Linked DNA regions of Arabidopsis thaliana. The protein of the gene in region 2 interacts with the protein of the main gene of each other region in a pairwise test. Each region holds a gene or a part of one and is shown on either strand. Other genes may lie near its edges.

Region 1 (2,793 bases), on a different chromosome or scaffold from region 2:
CTGGATGAATTGGATGGGTTATTGAGAGAAGCCGGGTATAATCCTGATTGCAGCTATGCATTGCACGATGTAGACGAGGAAGAGAAAGTCAATAGCCTGAAATATCATAGCGAGAGACTAGCGGTAGCTTATGCTCTTTTAAAGCTATCTGAAGGAATACCCATCCGAGTCATGAAGAACCTTAGAGTTTGTAGTGATTGCCACACAGCAATAAAAATAATCTCTAAGGTGAAAGAGAGGGAGATCATTCTAAGAGATGCAAACAGATTCCATCACTTCAGAAACGGAGAGTGTTCCTGTAAAGATTACTGGTGAGATTCAATAAATGCCAAGCAGAATGTTTTTTTTTAATCTTAGGCTTAGCTATCAATCCTCGTTGGAGCGTTGGCAAAATGGAGTAATTCTCGCAAACCATAGGAACTTGCTCAGCCATTGATGAGAGTTCTCTCTAAGTTCTTCTGCTAATATATATATATTTTTTTACTGATCTTGTTATCAATGTGCATTTGTAGCATTTTCTTCAATATGGTTAATAAGAAGTGATGAACAATCTTCAAGCAAAACTAGAATTCCATGACACATTTGTTTTTGGTACGTAGTTACTAACATTCTTTGTTGCTTATACAGAAACTGAAGAGCTCTTTGTCTCTTGTATGTATGTATGCTACAGAGAAAGATTCAAGTCTAAACAAACGTTAGTCTCAGATCCTTCTTGCTTTTCCTTAGAGCCATCATACTCGTTGGATGCTGAAGAGCTCTCATTAGCTGCTTTTTCAATGTTGTTGGCCTCTGCTTTATTCATGAAAATGAAATCTTCTGGCTGAAACGAAGGGAATCTACGAACCCTTGCTCTTTCTTCTTCTTCCTGTCTCTTCTTCTCCATGGAGCTGTTGACATATTTCCGCATTTCCCTTGCGTTTTTAAGCACTGTGTACAACTTCTCCATCTTTTCTTCTTCGTCATCTTCCTTCTCCATTTTCACCCTCTTTCTGTCTCTGTCCATTGAACCGCTCTCTCTTCCTTCCCCTATGAAAATGTTTCTCTTTAGTTACATCATTTTCATCCTACTTTGATCATCAACACATGATACATCTGGAAGAATTTTCTGGAGGAATTGGTGGAGAAGATATAATTATTGCCTCTAGTGGGAAGACTAACAACATGACCTTATCTAAAAGTCTCTCAGACTTTCTTCTTTCCTTTGGGTGGCTTTGGAGACTTTTCAACACTATTATGGACCCCACCATGATGGACATTCATATAGCAACATGACATACATGTGTACATATGTACAGTCTACAGGGAATGGCACAGCTTCAAGCTAAACAAACACACTTCACAATAACCATTCAGAATCACTCTCATTTGTTTGTTGCTGCATCTATGTTTCTTCTTCAGTCATCTGCCCATGGGACACCGTGCTTGGCCCAAAGATAGTATGCCGCAACTGGTCCTCGTCCACCAAATTCATACAACTCCGGAGCTGTGTGATGCTTGTCTATCTCTTCTAGAACCGGACTAAGAATGTTCCATGCTGCTGCAACCTCATCGCTTCTCATGAACAGATGATTGTCTCCGTCAATTACATCATGAATTAGGTGTTCATATGAGTCTGGTACTTCGGTTTTATACCTACAGGTTTGATCCAACAATTCAACCAACCATAAGGCGCAAAAGTTCGATTTTTAAAATGTGTAGGAACAAAGATGAGAATGCAAAACTTGCCTGTCTTTATAGAGCAAGTTAAGTTCAGAAGCGTCTAGCTGAAGACCTAAACCAGGAACCTTGTTGTTGATTTTCACCAGGATGGCCTCATCAGGTTCGTCACGTAGAATAAGCTCATTTGTCCCCAAATCTATGTTTATTCCAATATTTTCTCGGTATAGGTTTCCAGGAACATGCCGGAATTGCACATGAATCTCCACTCTTTCAACATTAAGGCACACCAATCAATTGTTATGACAGTTGGATATGTCTATGAGTAGGAATAATTATTCTTACCTGTGTTTAATGAGGCCAGTGCCAACTCTTACAAGGAAAGGTACACCATCCCAACGTGCATTATCAATATACAAGGCTGCTGCACAATATGTAGGGTCTACACCGTTCAAGATCACACCGTTCTTGTCTCGGGAACTGGATTTATACTGGCCAAGGATGACATCACGCGGGTCTATCTTGCGAATTGATCTTAAAACCTTCACCTGCAGAAGCAGGTTTGTCACCAAGTCACTTGACAGAACAAGAGTACACAACTTACATATATACCATAAGACGATTTTGTTCTTTACAGTACAGGTTGACCTTTTCATTTCGGATATCTTCACCATCGAGACTTATCGGAGGTTCCATGGCAAGTAATGCGATTGTCTGAAGTATATGGCTGTGCACTATGTCCCGTATTATTCCATATCCATCAGAAAACCTTAAAAAAAGCAGTAGGAAATTAGAAAATAACATTACTGATTTGTCTAAGAATGCTGAAACAACACAATTTACTCTCACATGCAAAGAAATGGTGAAAATAGAACTATTGTGCCTTACTTTTCTGTTTGCGCAATTGATTCTGATATAATAACCTGGAAACATCATTTATACACAAAGTGAACAAACCAGAATGTGGAAGAGGAAAGTTCAGGCACTATACACAACTACAAACAATCAGAAGGAAACACTACCTGTATATTGCGTATGTATGTTCTGTTCCATAGTGGTTCAAAAACTAGATTTGAAAACCTTAACACTGTCAGATTTTCAATGAGGTTTCTTCCTAACATGTGATCTATCCTGTAA
Region 2 (3,823 bases):
AACCGTAAACGCTACGAAGATCTAAGACATACCCAGTTGAAATTGACGGCTGCTACGAGGGAAAATGCGAGAAAGACTGGAAATTTCGCAGAGGCTGACAGTGAGAATCGCGTGGACTTTGAAGGAGAGAAGCAAAGTCTACACCTTTACCCTTTATTCTTTGCTTGCTATAATCAAGGAATTACTTTTGTAAACACAGAGATCTCTTCTGTTCCGTCTGATCTTCCCCGATAAGAAAAGTCTTGTTTGAATCAAGGAGCTTCCGGTCAAAATCGATGAGAAGAAACGTTGCAGGATCACCGAAATTTCAAGAACCAGACTATTTTAGGGTTACCGGTTCGAGACGGTTTGATCCAATGGTCCCCTATCGGTTTGTTCCGGTTATAACTGATAACGATGAGTTAAATTGAAGTATTTCTTTTGTGTTTGAAGCTTACGATTATACTGCTCTGGATAGTGGATGGGCTTGTTATTAGTTTTAAAAGTTTTTGGTGGAACCTGAATTATCATCCGGACCGGCTCCGTTAACCCGAGTTCAAATTTGTTTCCTTTACTACGAAAGAGTAAATAGTGGGACAACTTCATTAACGAACGAACCATAATAGAATTCATGCTTAAAACTAACGGGACAACTTCAAATTTGTTTCTTTTGCTGTTTCTTTAGTTTTCTAAAGAGACTTGATTGAATGGCAATGATCACTAGTTAAACGACTTCTCTGTTTCGCTAGTAAAAACAGAGCTTTTATAGCGTTTTAGGTACAACAATCAATCAATCTCTCTCTCTTTCTATCACTCTCCGAAACAAATTAACGAGACCAAATATTCTTAAACCCTAAAACCCTAATCAAACAAGCAATAAGCTTAAATTAAGTAAAAAAGGAGCAAAAGAAACCGCAAATTAGAGGTACTTTCTAAACACTTTCGATGACATAAAACATAGGAATTTTTCTATACATTACCAAAAAGACAATACCATTTCTCAACGTGGTTCGTGGTCGTCTTCCCTCCGACCCGACCCGTTAGCTCCACCAGACAAAGAAGCAAGCAAATTGAGATGATGACCCGGAAGATAATTCCCAACTCTAGCTGCTGAAGCCTCACCCATTGCAGCTGCTGCGGCGGCGGAAGCTTGCTGTTGCTGCTGGTGGCGGACGAAGAGTGTAGCTGGTTGCTGCTGCTGCGCAAAAACCATTTCCGGTGGAGCTCCGGTTGCAAAGCTCCAGACTTGTCCGAAATCCGGCCTCGCCGGAACAGCCCAAAACCCACCAGAACCACCACCACCCATTAACGAAGTCCCCATTGTGTGTCCCACTGTTAACCCTCCTCCTCCTCCGCCGCCGGATTCTCCTTCCTCCGCTCTGACGACACGTTTCCCGAGAGTAAACGGAGAAGAAGTGGAGAGAGAAGCAGTGGAGAAACTCGCCGGAGTAGTGCCAGTTCCAGTGGCGGCTATGATAGAAGGCTCAGCTTGACGGAGAAGCCACTCTATGGTTTGACCATCGGACTTGTGACCTAACTCTCTGGTCAATTGAAAAACTCGAGCTGCGCAAATGATTGGCATACGAATCCTTCTTCCTCTTCCGTCAACTTTGCTGTGTCGATCTTTAGACGGTGGTTTCTTAACGGCGTTAAGAGGTCCTTTGTTTGACGTCTGCTCGACTATGATGCCGTTACTCACTGCTCCGTCGTTGTCGGCCATGGAATTAGGATTTCGTTATCACTATCTAACTCTCTCTCGAGGAGAAGAAGAAGAAGAAGAAGAAGAAGGAGGTAATGATTTGAGAGGAAGCTAGGCTGGTGGAGACAGGAAGGAGAGCACATGGCTGGTGGGGTCCCACACAGCTCACTTCTGCTAGGTTTTTTTAATTTGTCCGGACGCGGTTGAAGCTCACGCGCTTGACTCCGGTGTTGACTATAGCGTTGGACCACGGTCGGGCAGGAGAATTTAAGTTTTTAGGTTTAGGAGTTAGTTGGGGTCCCCATTTATATGGTTGCTTGAATTACATTAGCTAATTTACGAGTAATTAGGATTCGTAGAAAATAAGTAGCGTTACAAGAATAATATGAATTCGATTTTGGTTTTTACTAATTCTTATTACTTCTGTGACATGTAACCACAACAATGCTGATTTTTACCTTTATTTCTTATCGATAAAATTTGTTTTAGAATGAAGTAGTATATGTTTTATGCTTTGTAACCACAGTAATCATACACGTTTACCTCATGAGTTTAATGCATTTTATAGGATGTAGGGAAATTAGATTGCAATTAAGACAAAAGCTGTTTCCAGTTTCCACAATAGTTGAAAAGATGAGGAATAAGAGACAATCAATGGTGGTAATTGATTGGTGAGTATACTTTACACCTACACTGATTACGATTCTATTTTGTACGATTTTAATTTATTTATTTTTAGTCATTTATAATTTCACATCTACTAATTTGTGATTGTCTCTTATTTTTTATTTTTTATTTAACTTCTAGGATAAATAAATAGCTCAAATAAAAGAAATGACAATTACGCGCTTTATGACACAGGTTACTAATCTGAGTATAACCCAACCACTGTGACCCCCACACGATATGCGTTCGTGTGTGCAATTTGTATAATCAAAATTCTTATTACCCATTAAGCAATAATAAAACAAATCATTCCATTTGGAGCGTGGCATAATAAAAGTAGCCGTGCCCACCTGGCAGATATGCCGATTTTGATATGTCGTTGCGTCGAGATTTTTTAAATTGTTTCGCGACAATAATTTCTTTCATGATGAATATATAATGCACATTATACTATATTATCGTCTTAATATTTGTTATATGATTGTGAAATCCTTTAACAGAAATAATTGTTATGATGATTGCCGTACCCATACGATACAACCATGAGTGATGTTTAAATGCCTTTTTTTAAAAACTATACCCAAGCCAACTTCTTAAAGTTGTCGATATAATACGTGAAGGTGCTATCAAAAGCGATGAAAAGAATATTTTTGTGCATGCTTAAAGTATGATAGATAGTAAAAACTTGAAACTACGACGCACAGCTGAGGAACCACCAAACTAGAGACTCGTAGAGAAATTTTAGTCACATTTCGTAGCTACTTGCTAGGATTCAATTGAACTAGCTAGTTCTTAAAAGAAAACGTTGCCACAAAAGCTTACATACAAATTGTATGATACAATTGACAATTATTAATGACCGGCGCATGTTAAAAGTTATATTGAGTGATTAACTGGGATTTGAATGATTAGTTGTGGGGTTAGCTGGATAAATGCATAGAAATTTTTAATGATCACCAATTTACCAAAAATGCTTATAGTATATTCTAATCTTTTTATTTTATTTTAAAATAGTAATATGTGTACGAATCATTTGACAATTGTCAAATGTGTTAAACAGCTGGAGCCCATTCTCATCTGCCTTTATTTATTAATGGGAATTTGTATAGAATTATTAGTATGGGGGTTGGTGGACGAAAATACAAGAAAGTGACACTTCTGTCAAAAGAGAATCAACTCGTGTTTCATACAAATATCTTCTTTTCTAGTTTTCTCATTTGGCGATGCCTCTCTAGATTTTCTTAGCTTACTCCACCAATCAGAATAATCCACGTCATCTCGTTTTTTTAAACTGAGAGGATCGCTTTATCTTCTGCCATCTATTTGACTAGCGTGACTAAAAGACGTTCAGAGACCAACTCGCTTTGTAGTTTGTTGTATTTGGTATTTGTTTGATACTAAATTACTAATCATGTGAACTGTGAACGATTCTGACTTTGGTATAACTCAAAATTCTCTAGTGACTTGATTTTTATCAAA
Region 3 (4,035 bases), on a different chromosome or scaffold from region 2:
ACTAACGTTGGGAGTCCTAACTCGATATACTCAGTGAATGTCAAGGCTCCAGAGGGGATCAAAGTTATTGTCAATCCTAAGAGACTTGTGTTCAAACACGTGGATCAGACGCTGAGCTATAGAGTATGGTTTGTATTGAAGAAGAAAAACAGAGGAGGGAAGGTGGCTAGCTTTGCACAAGGGCAGTTGACTTGGGTCAACTCTCATAATCTGATGCAGCGAGTTAGAAGTCCAATCTCTGTAACCTTGAAGACTAACTGAGCCAATGAAGGAAAACGTTTTTCATTCTGTTTCAAGACTGTGTTAGGTTTATTAGGTTTTTATGCTAAGAAAACCTCGTGAAGCTGATTGATTGTTGTTATTGTACGCACAAGAGCTGTATTTCATTTTCCAGGGAATGAAACTACTGGTGATTCTATCATATTACTGTAGCTTGATTTCATCACTAAACCCTAATCCAGATGCATGCCTTTGTTGTTATAGTGGTATATTGGATCAGGCACCAATAGAGTGAAAAACCCTAAATATACAAAGATCTTTAAAGACAAGGTTAAGCTGTTGTTTGATATTCACAAACGACCACAAGACATATGTACACTCATGTATAAACATATGCACATGTATATATGTGAATGTGATATATGAGTTACAGACCAAAGAGATGTAAACTGTTTTTGCTATATAGGACTCTCTACTTACCTACTCCAGCTCCAATTGATGTCTTCATGATTCTCAGTCTTGTCACAGACCCGAGGAACATCCTGAGAAGATGAAAAGATCGTTTTCATTGAAATGGATGTGCCACATTACAAATACAGATGATGAATGGGAAGTTATAAGGGTAGTCACTTACTGCCAAGGAACATCTCCTACAAGCATCCAATCTCCGTCTTTATCTTGATATGTTATGATATATTCCGATGAGCCATCCAGTAATTTCGAAGTACATGTTTCCTTAATTGTCTTGTATCCTTGTGTGTTGGATCCTACAAATCGATCAATCAAAACCAGTCAATTTCAAGAGACACAGAATTTGAAAAACAGAATCACATGGAATCTCATGAAACAGAATTAGTAACTGACTTGTTACAGGAGAAGGAATCTGGAAAAACATTAGATCCAAAGTTTTCTCTAAGGCTGCATAAGAATCCAGAGCATTGAGATCAACCTTCCTTCCAATTATAACTCCGTCCATTGTCACCTTCACAAGCATAGAAGTCCTGGACGATTTGATAAAGCAAGCATCATCGTTCTTAGCAGCAACCACTACACTTTTTGTAGTCTCCTTTTGAATGCCAGAACTCAAGCCGCCTTCCGTAGCTAAAGACTTTGCTTGATTGACCAAACTGTTGATTCTGTAAGTCCGTAGAGGCGGCCAACCTACAGCAACTTGTCTGCTCCATTACCAAAAGATATTAAATCAAAAGACGAACAAGTATAAACCAATATGATTCAAAAGTTTAACTAAACATTTCAGGGAACACTCTATTTGATTCAATCCTGTGATTCATTCATTCTCAAAGTTTAAGGTCTAAAAGCTCTATCCTCTAAGTTGCTTTGATTCTGTAACAATAAGCAATCTGAGACCAATCATTCATATAGGTTATAATATAAAGTCTCGAAGATGAATTTTTTACCTGGTTGCGTTTGAGGCGGCAGCCGGAGAAGAATCAGCAGAGCGTTTGGTCCCACTTTCCCTGGTCAGAGAAGAAGACGAGGAAGACAAAGACGATCGAACCTTCCGACGACCAATGCTAAGACCCAAAGCTAGGTCGAGCTCTGTCTCTGACACTGACTCGTCGGGGCAAGATGAATCCTCCGACGAATGTGCGGCGTTTTCGTCTTCTTCAGCTGGTAGTCCGATCATCACCGACCCACTTGACGAACAAACTTCTTGCAAACCATTCATTATCCCAAATTGCCAAACGAATACACAAAGCAAGAACACTAAAACCCTTGATTCAAATCCAATTATCGATCAAGTTTGAAGAAACCCATTAACCAAGCAAACCAAAAAAAAGGTTTCAACTTTCAACACCTCTACGATTCTGAATTTCGAGACAGAAAAAAAAAAAAAACTTGAGGTCACGCACGGATCCACAGAACTGAAATTGAGAACTAAACGAGGTTTTAATCTTGATTCGAGGGCGACTTCGATTCTCGGATCAAAAACAAGGAATTTTTCTTAAAGAGAGAGAGAATGAAATTGGAGGAACGAAAAATCGGAAACGGTACACGAATGTGTGCGTTGCGTTTGGTGGAGGTTTGTTCGTCTATATAACTTTATTATTTTAATTAAATACATGATGGGACCCACTTGTATACACTTCTAACGACAAGTTTTACGTTAATCCTACGCTAATTGTGTAATTAATCTCTTGCGCAATCAAAGCTTCATCTTCCTTTACAAGTTACACAGTTAGGGCTCCGATGGTAATCTCACCACATCTGTTTCCCAACAGTGAGAATTTCAACATCTTTCATCGCCATACCAATTGTTCTTCTCCTTTGGTCCTGTAGGACCTTCCTCGCCGGATAATTCCACCGGAAGTTTTCTAAGCACTGTGGCAAGCGAAACCCTAACCGTCCTCGGAAATCGATTCACCAATCTCTCTATCTCCTCTCTTGAATCGTACACAACCTTTGGTCCCCATTCTCTCATGTACTGCAACCACGGCGGTTCTGCCAACACACTGTTTCCGCTGAGATACTCCGCTGCAATGATCTCGTACCGTGAGCTCGAATCTACCAAGAGTTCACTACGCGCAGTGTCATTTCTTATCCCAATCCCAAGCATTGTCGATCCCTGTAAGTAAGTCCCAGCCCTAGGAAAGCTTGCGTGACCATGTTTTGAAGAGTAAACAACGGCTTTGTTGCTTCCGGGAATGATTTCAAGGTCGTATGCTTCGATCCACTCGCCGCCACTGTGTTGAGACAAGTAGATTGAGTAAAGCTCACCAGAGAAATTGCTGATTCGGAGAGTGAAATGTTCCCAATCGCAGACGTGTTGGCCAATACTGATCAATGAGATATCGACGAGTCCTAGTTTTAAGGTTGCTGGTCCGTTAAATGGACAGAAGATCCAGAAGACAAGATCCGTGAACGTTCCTCCAAGAGCAGGCTTAATATGAATGTAAAGTTTCGAGCTTTCAAGGTTTCCTCGCTTGACGAAATCTCTTTGTTGATCATCACACGGCAAATCAATCCAAAACTGCTTGTCATTGCTTCCTCCTTGAGGCAAATTCGAACCATTTTCATCGATAGGTTCCTCGATTGGATTTCCCTTTTCGCAGAGAACTGCACCATTTTTGAAGAACCACGAAACAGAAGAAGGTAAGTAAGTTTCACCAGGATGGAAGACTAGTGTAGGACCATAGTGTTGAATCAAAGCTTGAATCTGATCAACATTTGGCATCGCATGTAAACTCAAATCTAGATTCTTTAGACAAGCAATACCGATACCAAGATCTTCTCTAGCAGCAACAAGCCGAGTTCTGCAGAAGAAAGTACCTGCAGAGACACCTTTGCCCCACATTCCTCGGTCTGAAGGCCGAGTTCTCCATATAAACAAAGGAACACCTAAAGATTCTGAAACAGCAGTGACAATGACATTGTGGGGTTCACATATATCAGTAAGATCAGCTCTAACACATCTAACTTCATTCAACTCAGGTTTCACGGAAGTCTTTGTAACCACAAAACCGATCGATCTATACCCTTCAGGAGGCTGCGGTAACCAGAAGTAACCGCATTCGCTCTTACTACTACATTCATTTTCTGCTGAATCATTTGAGCTCCAGACAAGAGTAAAATCAACAGGTTCCACTAATGCAGGTTTCTCTACCTGTTCTAATGAATCCACTAAATCTCTTGCCGCAAGTACATAACCTCTCAAAGGATGAGAATCAGACTGACAGTAGTGACCTAAGCAATGGAAGTCTTTAGGTAACAATCCCTTTGGTTTGTAAAATGAAATGTTCTTCTTCTTCTCTGTGGATCTGTATCTCCATATAAATTCAAAATCCGTGATTTTGA

What was found. The genes of interacting proteins can lie anywhere in the genome.
Region 1: the proteins of TCP11 (region 2) and NIMIN-3 interact in binary tests that used the Arabidopsis thaliana proteins (3 or more experiments, as listed by UniProt).
Region 3: the proteins of TCP11 (region 2) and IAA10 interact in binary tests that used the Arabidopsis thaliana proteins (3 or more experiments, as listed by UniProt).

Annotation. Positions count from the first base shown.
Region 1 is NC_003070.9:3,037,246-3,040,038, forward strand, and holds NIMIN-3 (NIM1-interacting 3), read right to left. Parts: upstream 1,164-2,793; 5' UTR 1,004-1,163; coding exon 665-1,003; 3' UTR 509-664; downstream 1-508. Other genes in the region: AT1G09410 (pentatricopeptide (PPR) repeat-containing protein), read left to right, coding at 1-315; G6PD4 (glucose-6-phosphate dehydrogenase 4), read right to left, coding at 1,395-1,632, 1,726-1,926, 2,002-2,198, 2,269-2,425, 2,545-2,579, 2,679-2,787.
Region 2 is NC_003076.8:2,678,704-2,682,526, reverse strand, and holds TCP11 (TCP family transcription factor), read right to left. Parts: upstream 2,127-3,823; 5' UTR 1,700-2,126; coding exon 980-1,699; 3' UTR 534-979; downstream 1-533. UniProt on the Arabidopsis thaliana protein: Transcription factor involved in the regulation of the circadian clock. Acts as a repressor of CCA1 by binding to its promoter. No binding to the LHY promoter.
Region 3 is NC_003070.9:1,057,683-1,061,717, reverse strand, and holds IAA10 (indoleacetic acid-induced protein 10), read right to left. Parts: upstream 2,249-4,035; 5' UTR 1,989-2,248; coding exon of another isoform or gene 1,910-1,988; coding exon 1,638-1,909; intron 1,436-1,637; coding exon of another isoform or gene 1,395-1,435; coding exon 1,084-1,394; intron 987-1,083; coding exon 854-986; intron 762-853; coding exon 692-761; 3' UTR 509-691; downstream 1-508. Other genes in the region: SDD1 (Subtilase family protein), read left to right, coding at 1-261; AT1G04090 (vacuolar sorting-associated protein (DUF946)), read right to left, coding at 2,471-4,035. UniProt on the Arabidopsis thaliana protein: Aux/IAA proteins are short-lived transcriptional factors that function as repressors of early auxin response genes at low auxin concentrations.